Linked DNA regions of Saccharomyces cerevisiae S288C. The protein of the gene in region 1 binds, or shares a complex with, the protein of each later gene. Each region holds a gene or a part of one and is shown on either strand. Other genes may lie near its edges. A codon is read from its position in the direction of its gene.

Region 1 (5,624 bases):
ATACGTATCGGAAAAGAAAAGCAGTGGAAGATCAAAGGAAAAACTTGAACACGCAACTTAGGCAAAAATTTGCGTCGCCGTCAGACAATTTGCTTTCACCATGCTCTAGAAAACTGAATGATCACAAGTCAAAACTTTTCTCAGCCAAATCGCAACCCAAAACACTGGAGTTTGTGCGGGGCAAACAGAATATACCACGCAAGCCGAATGTAGACATTTAATTTAACGGATGATGATCATAAATTGGCCTATTTTTTTGCTGTATGTGTTACATATTATACTATATACGTTCTCCAACAATACAAGATGATACGGGGTAATACTCCTTATTCTTATTCTAGAAGACATACAAATATTTATGTTTTACGCATCGCTTTCTTTCCCTTTATTTTGTATTCACAAGTATATGGCATCTTAACATTGTTACTCAATTCTTAAAGATAATATCTAGCCTTCGCTATTTATTTGCCCCTTCCATCGATTCTTGCATCCACTACGGTATTTAGCAACAATGCTTCATTATCCAAGATGACTCTATTTGGAGAGCTAGCCAAGATCTTTGCAATGTCCCTGGCTGTATCTAATCTTTTCAATTCCACGTAGTCTCTTGATTTCTTGATGGCTTCACCAATCAGTTCGGCGGATTTGGCTTCACCTTGTGCCCTCACTACCATACCTTGTTTTTCTTGTCTGGCTTTATCAACTACAAATGCAGCCCTTTGAGCATCTTGTTGGGCAATTTGCTTTGCTTCTACAGCGTTCGTAAACTCTGGCGAAAAAGTCATGTACGTAATAGAAACATCATCCAGTAGGATATTGAATTTGCTTGCACGACGAACCAAATTCTCGCGAATCAACCTGGAAACTTTTTCTCTTTGAGTGATTAATTGTGACGCATTAAATTGGGCCACTACAGCCTTTAAAACTTCATTAACAATGGAAGGCAACACTCTTTCATCGTAATCCTGACCTAAGGTTCTGTATATGGTGGGCAATTGCACCACATCCGGTCTTGAAAGTACTCTACAGGTGATATTCACCATTTGTAAGTCTTTGGTACCTGTTAAAGAAGCAACATTACGAGGTTTTGCTCTCACATCATAAATAATTGGTGTGTCAAGCCAAGGGAAAATGAAGTGAGTACCTTCATTAAATATCCTAGAGGAAACACCATGTATTCTGGAATAAACAATGGCTCTATGACCACCATCTACATTGAACAGTGCATTATTAATGAACAGTGCACCACCTCCGAGTAAAAGCAAACCTCCCAAGCCTGCAAATGCCCCCCTTGGTGAAGGCACTTGACCTCTGCCTCCGGTTTGCTGTACCTTGGACAATTGTTTTTGGAACGCCTTTGCGTACCTTTGGAACTCACCAGGTGATCTATTCATCAGCACTAAATTATATTCTTTTCTAGCAGCCGCTTGCTTTTATTTCGTGAGCTACTAAAATACAACCTCCCCTGTAAAACTCTTCTGATGTCCTTTATGGTTTATGAATTGCCCTTTTTTGCTATTATTTCCCTTAGATGCCAAAATGAGCGATACAAGAAAAGTTTGCCACTCTATGTCGTTGATAGTGATTATGCAACACAATTACATGCAAGCTATTAAAATATCGACTAAACGGATACGGCCACATCGCAGTATTACTCATAGCAATAGAGGAAGTAGAAAGTATTTAAATGGGGCCACTCAAATTGCACACTGCTTTATGTAATCTGATTTCATTTCTATACAAAGAATATCTCTCTTACCCGGCTGTCAAGTATGATCGAAGGGCCCTTCATAAAAGGGTTCTTTAAAGAACGATCAGCTGAAGCTGTGATAATAAATGCTACATAAATGCATGCCCTTAAAACTGTATAACCATGTCTAATTATCCTTTGCATCAAGCCTGCATGGAAAATGAGTTTTTCAAGGTACAAGAGCTGCTACACTCCAAACCTTCCTTGTTGCTACAGAAGGACCAGGATGGCAGAATCCCTTTACACTGGTCAGTTTCTTTCCAAGCACATGAAATTACCAGTTTTTTGCTTTCTAAAATGGAAAATGTTAACTTAGATGATTATCCAGATGATTCTGGATGGACACCTTTCCATATTGCTTGTTCAGTGGGGAATTTGGAGGTGGTAAAGTCTCTTTACGACAGACCTCTAAAGCCTGATCTAAATAAGATAACCAATCAAGGAGTTACATGCTTGCACTTGGCAGTTGGTAAGAAATGGTTTGAAGTATCCCAATTTTTAATTGAAAATGGTGCGTCCGTAAGAATTAAAGATAAATTTAATCAAATTCCATTGCATAGAGCTGCGTCGGTGGGTTCTTTGAAATTAATTGAACTATTATGCGGTTTGGGCAAAAGCGCTGTAAATTGGCAGGATAAGCAGGGTTGGACCCCACTATTTCATGCTTTGGCTGAAGGGCACGGTGACGCAGCTGTATTGTTGGTGGAAAAGTATGGTGCAGAATATGATCTTGTAGATAATAAAGGCGCTAAGGCAGAAGATGTTGCCCTTAATGAACAGGTTAAAAAGTTTTTCCTAAATAATGTATAAGATTTCAAAACTACATATTACAGAACTTTACATATCAATATTATTCTCAAAAAGCAACTCACAAGCGTAGTAGATCCCGCTGTAACCTCCATCAGCTGGTATTTGGTCATTTTCCCCGACCGATGCAATCAACAGTAGTCCGTTTTGTTTGATGATCCTAGCCAACGACGGGCATATCTTCAGTACTTCATATGGAAGCGTTACACCTAACAAATTATTGTTCATAGCAAATTGAACCATTGTATGTATGTTTATTAGTTCCGTGTTTAAATACGACATTTTTTGAGGATTTACGGCCAGTTCCTTTAAACAATTAGGAGTATCACCTACAAATTTGCCTGTGGTTGAATCTCTGAGTAGATTTTTCATTTGCAACAAAACCGGAAAATTGGGTTGTTTCCAGTTAAGGATCGAGCAAGCTTCCCAATTGCATGAACTGAAAACTATTTGGCGCATACTCCCACTTCCGCTGTGACGCAAAAAACGTTCATGCTCGAAAATGATTAGTAAAAGCTTATCAATGAATTGATTGATATTTATAAATGGCGATATTTTGATGGGAATTGTGTCAATTTCCTTATCTGTAGGAAAATATACACGAATTACCAGCTGGGCTGACCCGGGAATAACTTCTAGTAGGCTTCTGAGAGGCACCACTCTCGAAGATAAGTATTGTTTCAATGTTACTTCATCGAAGCTTCCATCAATTTTACCGAAGTCATAATCCACTACCTTTTCCAATTGTTCTTTCGTTAAATCATTTAACAGAATCTTCGTGCCTTTGAATTCAACGTATGGTTTTGGCGCAGCCACTATGGTTTCATCATTCAGAGCGCAAACTAATACACTAATAAAACTGCCATTCAACGATGAAGAAGTAACAAAATTACCGTCTTTACTAGAGGTCATTAAATCACTTCCTGTAGATTTCCAATACGGCTCATAATTTATGATTTTCAGTGGATTTCCCGGATAAGGAAAAATAATTTGGTAATCCAAAGTGAGAGATCCAATATTATTTAGTCTTGTGTCGAATAAGGGTAAATTCATGGTTGCAATACTATTTATTGCCACCTTCTTGAAAAGGAATGGCATTGCCGTTGTTTTGGCAATTATCCTTGTGCCAAATGAAGGAAATATCTCGAAATCCATTGAAAAATCGTCGATTGAATCTACTTGGAAAATTATCTCTCCATCATCATGATCTTCACTAATTTCATCATCATCTTCTTCATCATTTGTTTCACTGATATCCTTACAAAAGTTATTAATTTCGCCAGATCTAACAGGTAAAATAACATTTCGCGGTATTATTTCAGGTAAGTTTGAGGATAAAGTAATTCTGCCTGGTGATGATGACATAATAATGCCGTTATCCTGAGTCAACTTGATAGACTCGAGACCTGGCCTCAACTTTAATTTGATGAAAATTTTTTTCTCCAAAAAATTATGACCATATTTCCTTAGTGGAATGATTGGCGGTGGTAAAGCAAAATCCGGAATGCTATCTTGAATGTCTAAATCAAATTTGTCATCATTTGGGGTTAAATCTATTGTATTAAGGCGTTGCGTACTAGACTGCGAATTTATTTCATTCAGGGGTGCAGATGGCAAATTTAATGGTCTTTGTAAAAGTGCATTCAAAACATCAACGTGGCTCTCCCATAAGGCGTAAAAAAGTGGCGAATGGCCGTTGTCATCTTCAATATCCAGACGTGCATTATGTTTCAATAGTTCAGTAATAACTTCAGAATGACCTGAACGAACAGCGTAAAAAATGGGCGTCCATTTATTAAACCCATCAATTTCGTTGGGATCCGCCCCATAACGTATCAATAGTTGAATTAATTGTGGATCGCCGCCAATTTTTGCCACTATATGAAGAGTGCATAAACCTGTTGAGTTCTTTTTGAAAAGCGGTTGACACAAGTGTTGTGAACTTTTGTTCTTGGCATTATCAGCATTTTGCTTACTCCGAATTTCTAAAAGTAACTTGGCGGCGTCATGATTATTAAATTTACAAGCAACATTTAAAGGATCGAACTGGACTTTAGTAGAGCTGATTACATTCTTACTATAATCCAGAATTGGCTTTTCAATGGGTGATGCGTTCGCACCACCAATAGTCAGCAGATCCCTAACAACATCTATGTGGTTGTTAGTGATAGCCAAAACCAAGGGTGTCTTAGAATCACTATCAATGGGATCAACGTCCTCTAAAAGATTGGTGATTAGCAACGAGTGAACAAATTCCAGTTTTCCTAGCTCTGCAGCATAATGTAGCGGCACCCGCGAATGTATATCTTGGGCATTCAGTAGTTTTTGTACTGTTTCTTTAGATAACTTTGATGTTGTTAAAGCCTCATCTAGAATAAATAAGCGTGATTTTTCTGGACAACTTGCAGCCTCGTGAAATACGTTTTTTCGTGAAAATACTTGATCATCTTCGTCACAATATGACAGATCAATATGATCCTGATTGCTTTTATAGAAAATATGCAGAGAGTTATCGTCCAAAGGACTAGCCACCAGTAATAAAAACAGCGTCGTTAAGCACTCCTTCAACAAAGAAAAGACATTTTTATGAAAAGATTCTGAGGAATTTTGTAGCAGATATGTGAATATCTTGGTTTCTCTGAAGTTTCTTAGTAGTGCATGCTTTCTTTGAACATCTTTCACCGTGGCTATATTCAAAATTTCCTTATACCAGTTTTCGATTTCCATCTCCATGTCCAAGGAGGAGGAAGATGCTTGAAAAAGATGTTCAAGTTGGTTTTCCGAAATCTTTGATGTTGTTAATTCATAATTATTGTGTAATATGTTATTATTATTGTTGTTGTTGTTGTTGTTATTATTATTGTTATTATTATTATTGTGTTTATTATTGTTGCTGGTATTATTGTCGTCATCATCGTCATTAGTAAACGTACTGGATTGTATGTCTGCCCTTCTATTGTTGTTGTCAATATCATTCAGCTCTAAGAGAATATGTAAAGTTTCATCGTTTAATTTTAGTGGCCCATCTCTGGTAAAAATTGGTTGAATGGAAACAACAGTAGCAAGG
Region 2 (5,192 bases), on another chromosome or scaffold:
TGGCATCTGCGGCCTCAATTTGGACTGGTAAAACGTTACTGTTTAAGAAGTTGGTATATGTTAACTCAAATAATTGTGACAATATGTTCATATCTTTAAATTCTTCCGAATACAGCGCTATCGTTTCCAAACTTCTTGCAACCAAAAACATGTACTTATCCTGCGATAACAATGGCACGATGAAGTGTCCAAAAATATTCTCCAGAACGGATGGCTCATCTATAAACGAAAACAAGTTAGACAATGTTCTCAAAGCACCCTCTTCTTTAAATGCCATGTTAATATCACTGGAATTGGCATCGAATCTAGTAAAAATATCATTAATGAACGGTAAAATATTGTTCAGTTTCTCAGGACGTTTGGACCCAATCAAGAATATGAAATCTGCTGAAGCAGCATCTGGCGTAGAGCCTTCTCTGTTAATGTCAAAATAACGCCTGGTATATTCCTCTTGGTCATCTTCTAATAATTCGATGGATTGTTCATTAGCACACAAACATGGGAAGATGACGTTCTCAAAAATAATTTGTAAATGTGGCTCAATTAAAGGATAAAGTTGATCTATTGTAACACATTTCTCTAGGAATGAAATTAAGAAATACAAAGAGGAATCGGATAACCATAGTGAATTATTACCCCAAGCTTCAATATCCTTAAAAAATTCTCGAAGAATTATAGGAACAATAGTATTGAAGATATAGTCGATAAATTCCTTGGTGATGGCCTTTGTAATTTTGTTGTATCTTTGCAGGAATCTGTTTAAGTTACCGAACCCCCATTTGTTCACTTTAACCCTTTTGTCTAGGGACCTATCTGCGGGATCCAGTTCCATTACTTCGACTGGTAATGGTTTGGAACATAAATACAAATGTAGTTGCACCCATGACATAATTCTTTCAGGTTGGCTGAAGTATTGAGGCAAGTTGTTCAAACATGCATACTTGAATGACTTCAAAATGAGGTACAATATTTCATTAGATCTGTAATCCGTTTGACTACCGATATTAGAAGCTATCCCTTCCACAATAGGGAAAAGTTCTTCGATAACAGAATCAATATAATCTCTCGACCCAACCATGTCCCACCTATGAGCTTTACAAAGTTGGAACAGTAGTAGTAACCCGGGATAAATGTACGATGCGTCACCGCTCGATAATAAATTCTTGATAATAGGTGCTAAATCCCAATCTTCCTGACCAACAAGTATCCCATTTATGGTTTCAGTCAGGATAGGCCTAATGTGGTTATTTTCACAGTTTTTAACTAAAGTCTCGATTAACCTTTCCTTGATCGAAAGCTTTTCGTCAGCTTTTATACCATCTTCTCTCTTAGTATCCCATGATCTGTGAATCTTATTCTTCAAATAAATAGCAGAAGAAAGACGAACATTTAGCGCAAAATTATCATCAGACACTATATTAAGCAGAAAAGAAGTAAACCCAGGTTGCTTCTGGAACTCAAATAACTGCTGTTCTGCCTCTTTGATAATTTTTGCATCAGCAACCATAGTCTGCTCAATGCAGCTCAAAATTGCCTGTTCTTGTACCATTTCCTTTTTTGATTTATCTCCTTTGTTGTAGACGGGCGCAATGTTAAATGTTTATGACACAAATCGAATAGCAAATCTACACTGGGATGAAGCAGAGACTGCGTACTTGATATTTTGGTTGTACTTTATTGATTGAGATACTTGTTGATAGGTACTCATCTTACCATCTCATTTGGAAAAAAAAATATCACAGAAAAAAAAAAGTGAAAAACTTGGCTAGCGACGTCCGGTTGCGCGCGGAATAACGCTAAGAAACGTGATAAAAAAGTGGCGTCTGTATTTATTTCATTTAGTGTTGTCTAGATAGAAATGTACGTAATACTTTATGTAGACCTACGTTGAAGCATATATGGTAATCATTTGTAGAAGTCGAATTTATCGACGGTATTATCTGTCTTGACTTGAGTGGCGTAAGCTTCTTCCAGATCGCTTTGTAAGATGACATATCTGTTTTTCCTCACTGCTCTTAAACCAGCTTCCTGCATGATCGCTGCAATAACAGCACCTGATAGAGAGTCGTTACGAATAATAAGCGAGTCTAAGTCCGCTTCTGGGGCAAGGGACATCTTACTGGCAATGGTACCGAAAATCAAACGACGTTCACGCCTATCACGAAGTGAGGGAAACTCAATCTTTCTATCTAATCTGCCTGGTCTCAGCAAAGCTGGGTCCAATGTGTCTGCCCTGTTTGTAGCCATGATGACTTTAACGTTGGTGGATTGATCGAAACCATCCATTTGTGTCAACAACTCAATCAGGATACGCTGTACTTCACGATCGGAACCCGTTTGAGCATCAAAACGCTTTGTGGCAATGGAATCTACCTCATCTATGAATATAATGGATGGAGCATTTTCCCTGGCGAGTCTAAAGACGTCACGAACCATTCTTGGACCTTCACCAAGATATTTGTGAACAAATTCGGAGCCATTAACTCTTATGAATGCAGCTTTTGTACTATTGGCGACGGCTTTAACAAGCATCGTCTTACCGGTACCTGGTGGACCATATAATAGAACACCCCTAGGAGGGTCAATACCGATTTGCTCGTATAGATCAGCCTGAACTAATGGCAGCTCTACGGCTTCCCTGATTTCTTGCTTTTGCATATCTAACCCACCAACATCTGCATAAGTGACGTCAGGTTTTTCGTTTTCGCCCATTACGGATATGCTAGAGTCGGAATCAGGTGGTAGGATGTCAACTAAAGCATTTGAATGACGATGTAAAGCTACAGACATAGATGGCTTTAATAGTTCACGGTCTAGGGTTGATAATATTCTAACGACATAACTCATACCTGTGGTACTAGAAACAATACCTGTGTTCTGATCAATAGGTTCTAAGAATTGCCCGATAACTAATGGAACCGACTGGATTCTCTTTACTTCTTCTTGAGCTCTCTTCAATTCACGTTTCAAATGGCGTTGTTCGTCCTTAATATAGTCTTCTTGCAAAGTCAGCAGTTCATACTCTTTTTCTAATTTCTTCAATTTGAAATATATATCAGAATTCACATTAGACAGGGCACTGTTATTGTTGACTGTACCATTGAGTTGAGCCAACAATGATGCGTATGATTTGACGGCTGGTTTTTCTTCGACTGCCTTTTCGACAGGTGTCACAATACCTAGTTCCTCCATTCTTGTTGTGGTTTTTACTTTATAAATACTTGAATTTTATCCGATTGCCTCTTGTATAACTTATGAGTGAAAGGAAATAGGCAGAATTGGTTTGTCCACACACTGAGAATCTGAGCCCTATTACTTCCTATATTCATGGCTATACCCAATTACTGCAGATTTACTATTTTGCCACCTTACTTTCAGGAAAAATATGAAAGGGCACATCGCGCGCTACGAAGAGCCAAACATTAGAGAAATTTTGATTATAATGGATTACACCAGCTAAACATTAGCTAGGTAAGGTTAAGGATATTGAAACCAAAACGTGCTATTTACTGTGTATTTATGATTTTATTATGTACAAGGATAAAGGATGAAAAAAATGCATGCGTGTTTTTTTAACGATATTCTTGCGCAGTATATCATGTCATATCAGCCCGGATACCAAGATTGTCATACTCACTAAAGAAATTGAGTATAAGTAGAACTCTAAGGTGTCAAAGACTAGGGGAGCGTCAAGTTTCCTATATTGTATGCTTTTTAGTGTGACAAAAAGTGCCTTTATTCGTTCCCAAATATCTCTGAAGGATTTCATTTCTGTTGTAGTGGTCTCAGCCGTTGCAACTTCAGGCCTGTCGATTTCCGCCGTATTAATTTTACATTCACCTCTCTGTTCTATGTGCTCTTCAACGATCGAGTTTTCTGTGTTGCCTTGGTCTGTTACTTCCGATGATTTTCCAGGTAACAATTTATCCATCTTCATATTCTGCTCCTTGGCATATTCGTTGAGAGCGCTTTTGACTTTGTCTTCAAACGATCCTACTAACCTTTTCCGTTTCCAAGGTTCTAATAGTAATTGTAGGACAATAAACAAGAATATATTCATACCCATTAAGATGAATGTACCCCAGGTGGATGTTCTTCGGATTTTGTCTGACCATATTTGTTCCTCATGGTACCTGGTCAAAATTGCTCTATACAAGTCGTCATTTAGTTGTTCTTCTTTGCTTTCAATTTCTTTAACCTTGTTTTTTAGTTCTTGCTCCTGTCTAGCATTCAAGGCGTCATTTTTGTATAGCTGCGTAAATCTCTCTAAATCGCTCGAAGACCACGCGCTTTGCCTTTGCAATAATTCGTTAACTTCTCTTTGGGATTGAGCACGTTCATCAATGGCGTTAGCGTACTGTGCCTTAAACAGTTTGTGTTCTTTCTTTGTAGCTTCTAATTTTTTTTCCATTAGACTGATGCTAGATTTGAGCTTTTGAATTCCAGAATAACCGGTCACATCATTTAAAGCACGTGTGGCAGTAAATAACGTCTCCTGTAATGAGTCAAAATAAAACTCTAACTTTCTAGACCATTTTTTTCTATGTTGTTCCCTTTCGGAGGGCAATCCTTCAATTTTCGCACTGGTCAATTCATCTTTATTATAGTTTAAACGGGAATCGTTGATTTCATTCTCTTGCTCAGACAACTTCCTGTTTGCCTCTTGAATTGATTTTTTGGCCTTGTTAACTTGAAAGGATAATTGATCTCGGTGGAAGTTAAACCTAGAATACAATTCATTTAATTTCTTTTTCAAGTGCTGCCATTGAAGTTCTATATTTTCTTTCCAAACAGCGTTATTAGGTGTCCGTATTTCATTTTTATTAGTGCTGCCTTTATCAGGAGTATCACCGTTCTGTAGAGAATATGAACTATAATGAAATGGCCTGGTGAAAGATGACGCCCTCAACATTAATTTGTTAATGCTGAATACTAAGGGTAAGTTTCTTGTCGCCCCATAGTATCTCAACATCACGCAATTTTTTAATCACTGAGTTCACCCGTTACAATTTCACAACGAAAAAGACCCCAATGATCAGATAGTCCTCTTTATAACGCGTATCTACGTACATAATCTTTATTTGTATTTTTCAATTCATTTGGCTCACATTTATCATACCAGAAGGAAACCCATGCACCTCCATGATGAAATTATACAAAAATTTACATGATAATTGGTTTAGAACTGAGTC

Evidence for each region. The genes of interacting proteins can lie anywhere in the genome.
Region 2: the proteins of NAS6 (region 1) and RPT3 are in contact, whole or in part, in a crystal structure (PDB 2DZO), measured with the Saccharomyces cerevisiae proteins. Residues at the interface, in NP_011748.3 of Saccharomyces cerevisiae: Met11 (codon at 1,904), Gln34 (codon at 1,973), Asp35 (codon at 1,976), Arg37 (codon at 1,982), Trp42 (codon at 1,997), Ser45 (codon at 2,006), Phe46 (codon at 2,009), Ser71 (codon at 2,084), Trp73 (codon at 2,090), Ile78 (codon at 2,105), Ser81 (codon at 2,114), Val82 (codon at 2,117), Gln106 (codon at 2,189), Leu113 (codon at 2,210), Gly116 (codon at 2,219), Lys117 (codon at 2,222), Phe139 (codon at 2,288), Gln141 (codon at 2,294), Arg146 (codon at 2,309), Ser149 (codon at 2,318), Gln173 (codon at 2,390), Trp175 (codon at 2,396), His180 (codon at 2,411), Glu184 (codon at 2,423); in NP_010682.3 of Saccharomyces cerevisiae: Pro364 (codon at 2,103), Glu365 (codon at 2,100), Ala366 (codon at 2,097), Asp367 (codon at 2,094), Asp369 (codon at 2,088), Ser370 (codon at 2,085), Ile372 (codon at 2,079), Ile373 (codon at 2,076), Arg374 (codon at 2,073), Asn375 (codon at 2,070), Asp376 (codon at 2,067), Ser377 (codon at 2,064), Lys397 (codon at 2,004), Arg399 (codon at 1,998), Tyr400 (codon at 1,995), Val401 (codon at 1,992), Leu403 (codon at 1,986), Gln404 (codon at 1,983), Ser405 (codon at 1,980), Glu408 (codon at 1,971).

Annotation. Positions count from the first base shown.
Region 1 is NC_001139.9:952,087-957,710, forward strand, and holds NAS6 (Nas6p), read left to right. Parts: upstream 1-1,873; coding exon 1,874-2,560; downstream 2,561-5,624. Other genes in the region: BNS1 (Bns1p), read left to right, coding at 1-221; prohibitin subunit PHB2, read right to left, coding at 462-1,394; PHO81 (Pho81p), read right to left, coding at 2,588-5,624. UniProt on the Saccharomyces cerevisiae protein: Acts as a chaperone during the assembly of the 26S proteasome, specifically of the 19S regulatory complex (RC) and appears to have an overlapping role with RPN14.
Region 2 is NC_001136.10:1,259,681-1,264,872, reverse strand, and holds RPT3 (proteasome regulatory particle base subunit RPT3), read right to left. Parts: upstream 3,193-5,192; coding exon 1,906-3,192; downstream 1-1,905. Other genes in the region: SXM1 (Sxm1p), read right to left, coding at 1-1,549; SHE9 (She9p), read right to left, coding at 3,602-4,972; transcriptional regulator SPT3, read right to left, coding at 5,164-5,192. UniProt on the Saccharomyces cerevisiae protein: The 26S proteasome is involved in the ATP-dependent degradation of ubiquitinated proteins. The regulatory (or ATPase) complex confers ATP dependency and substrate specificity to the 26S complex.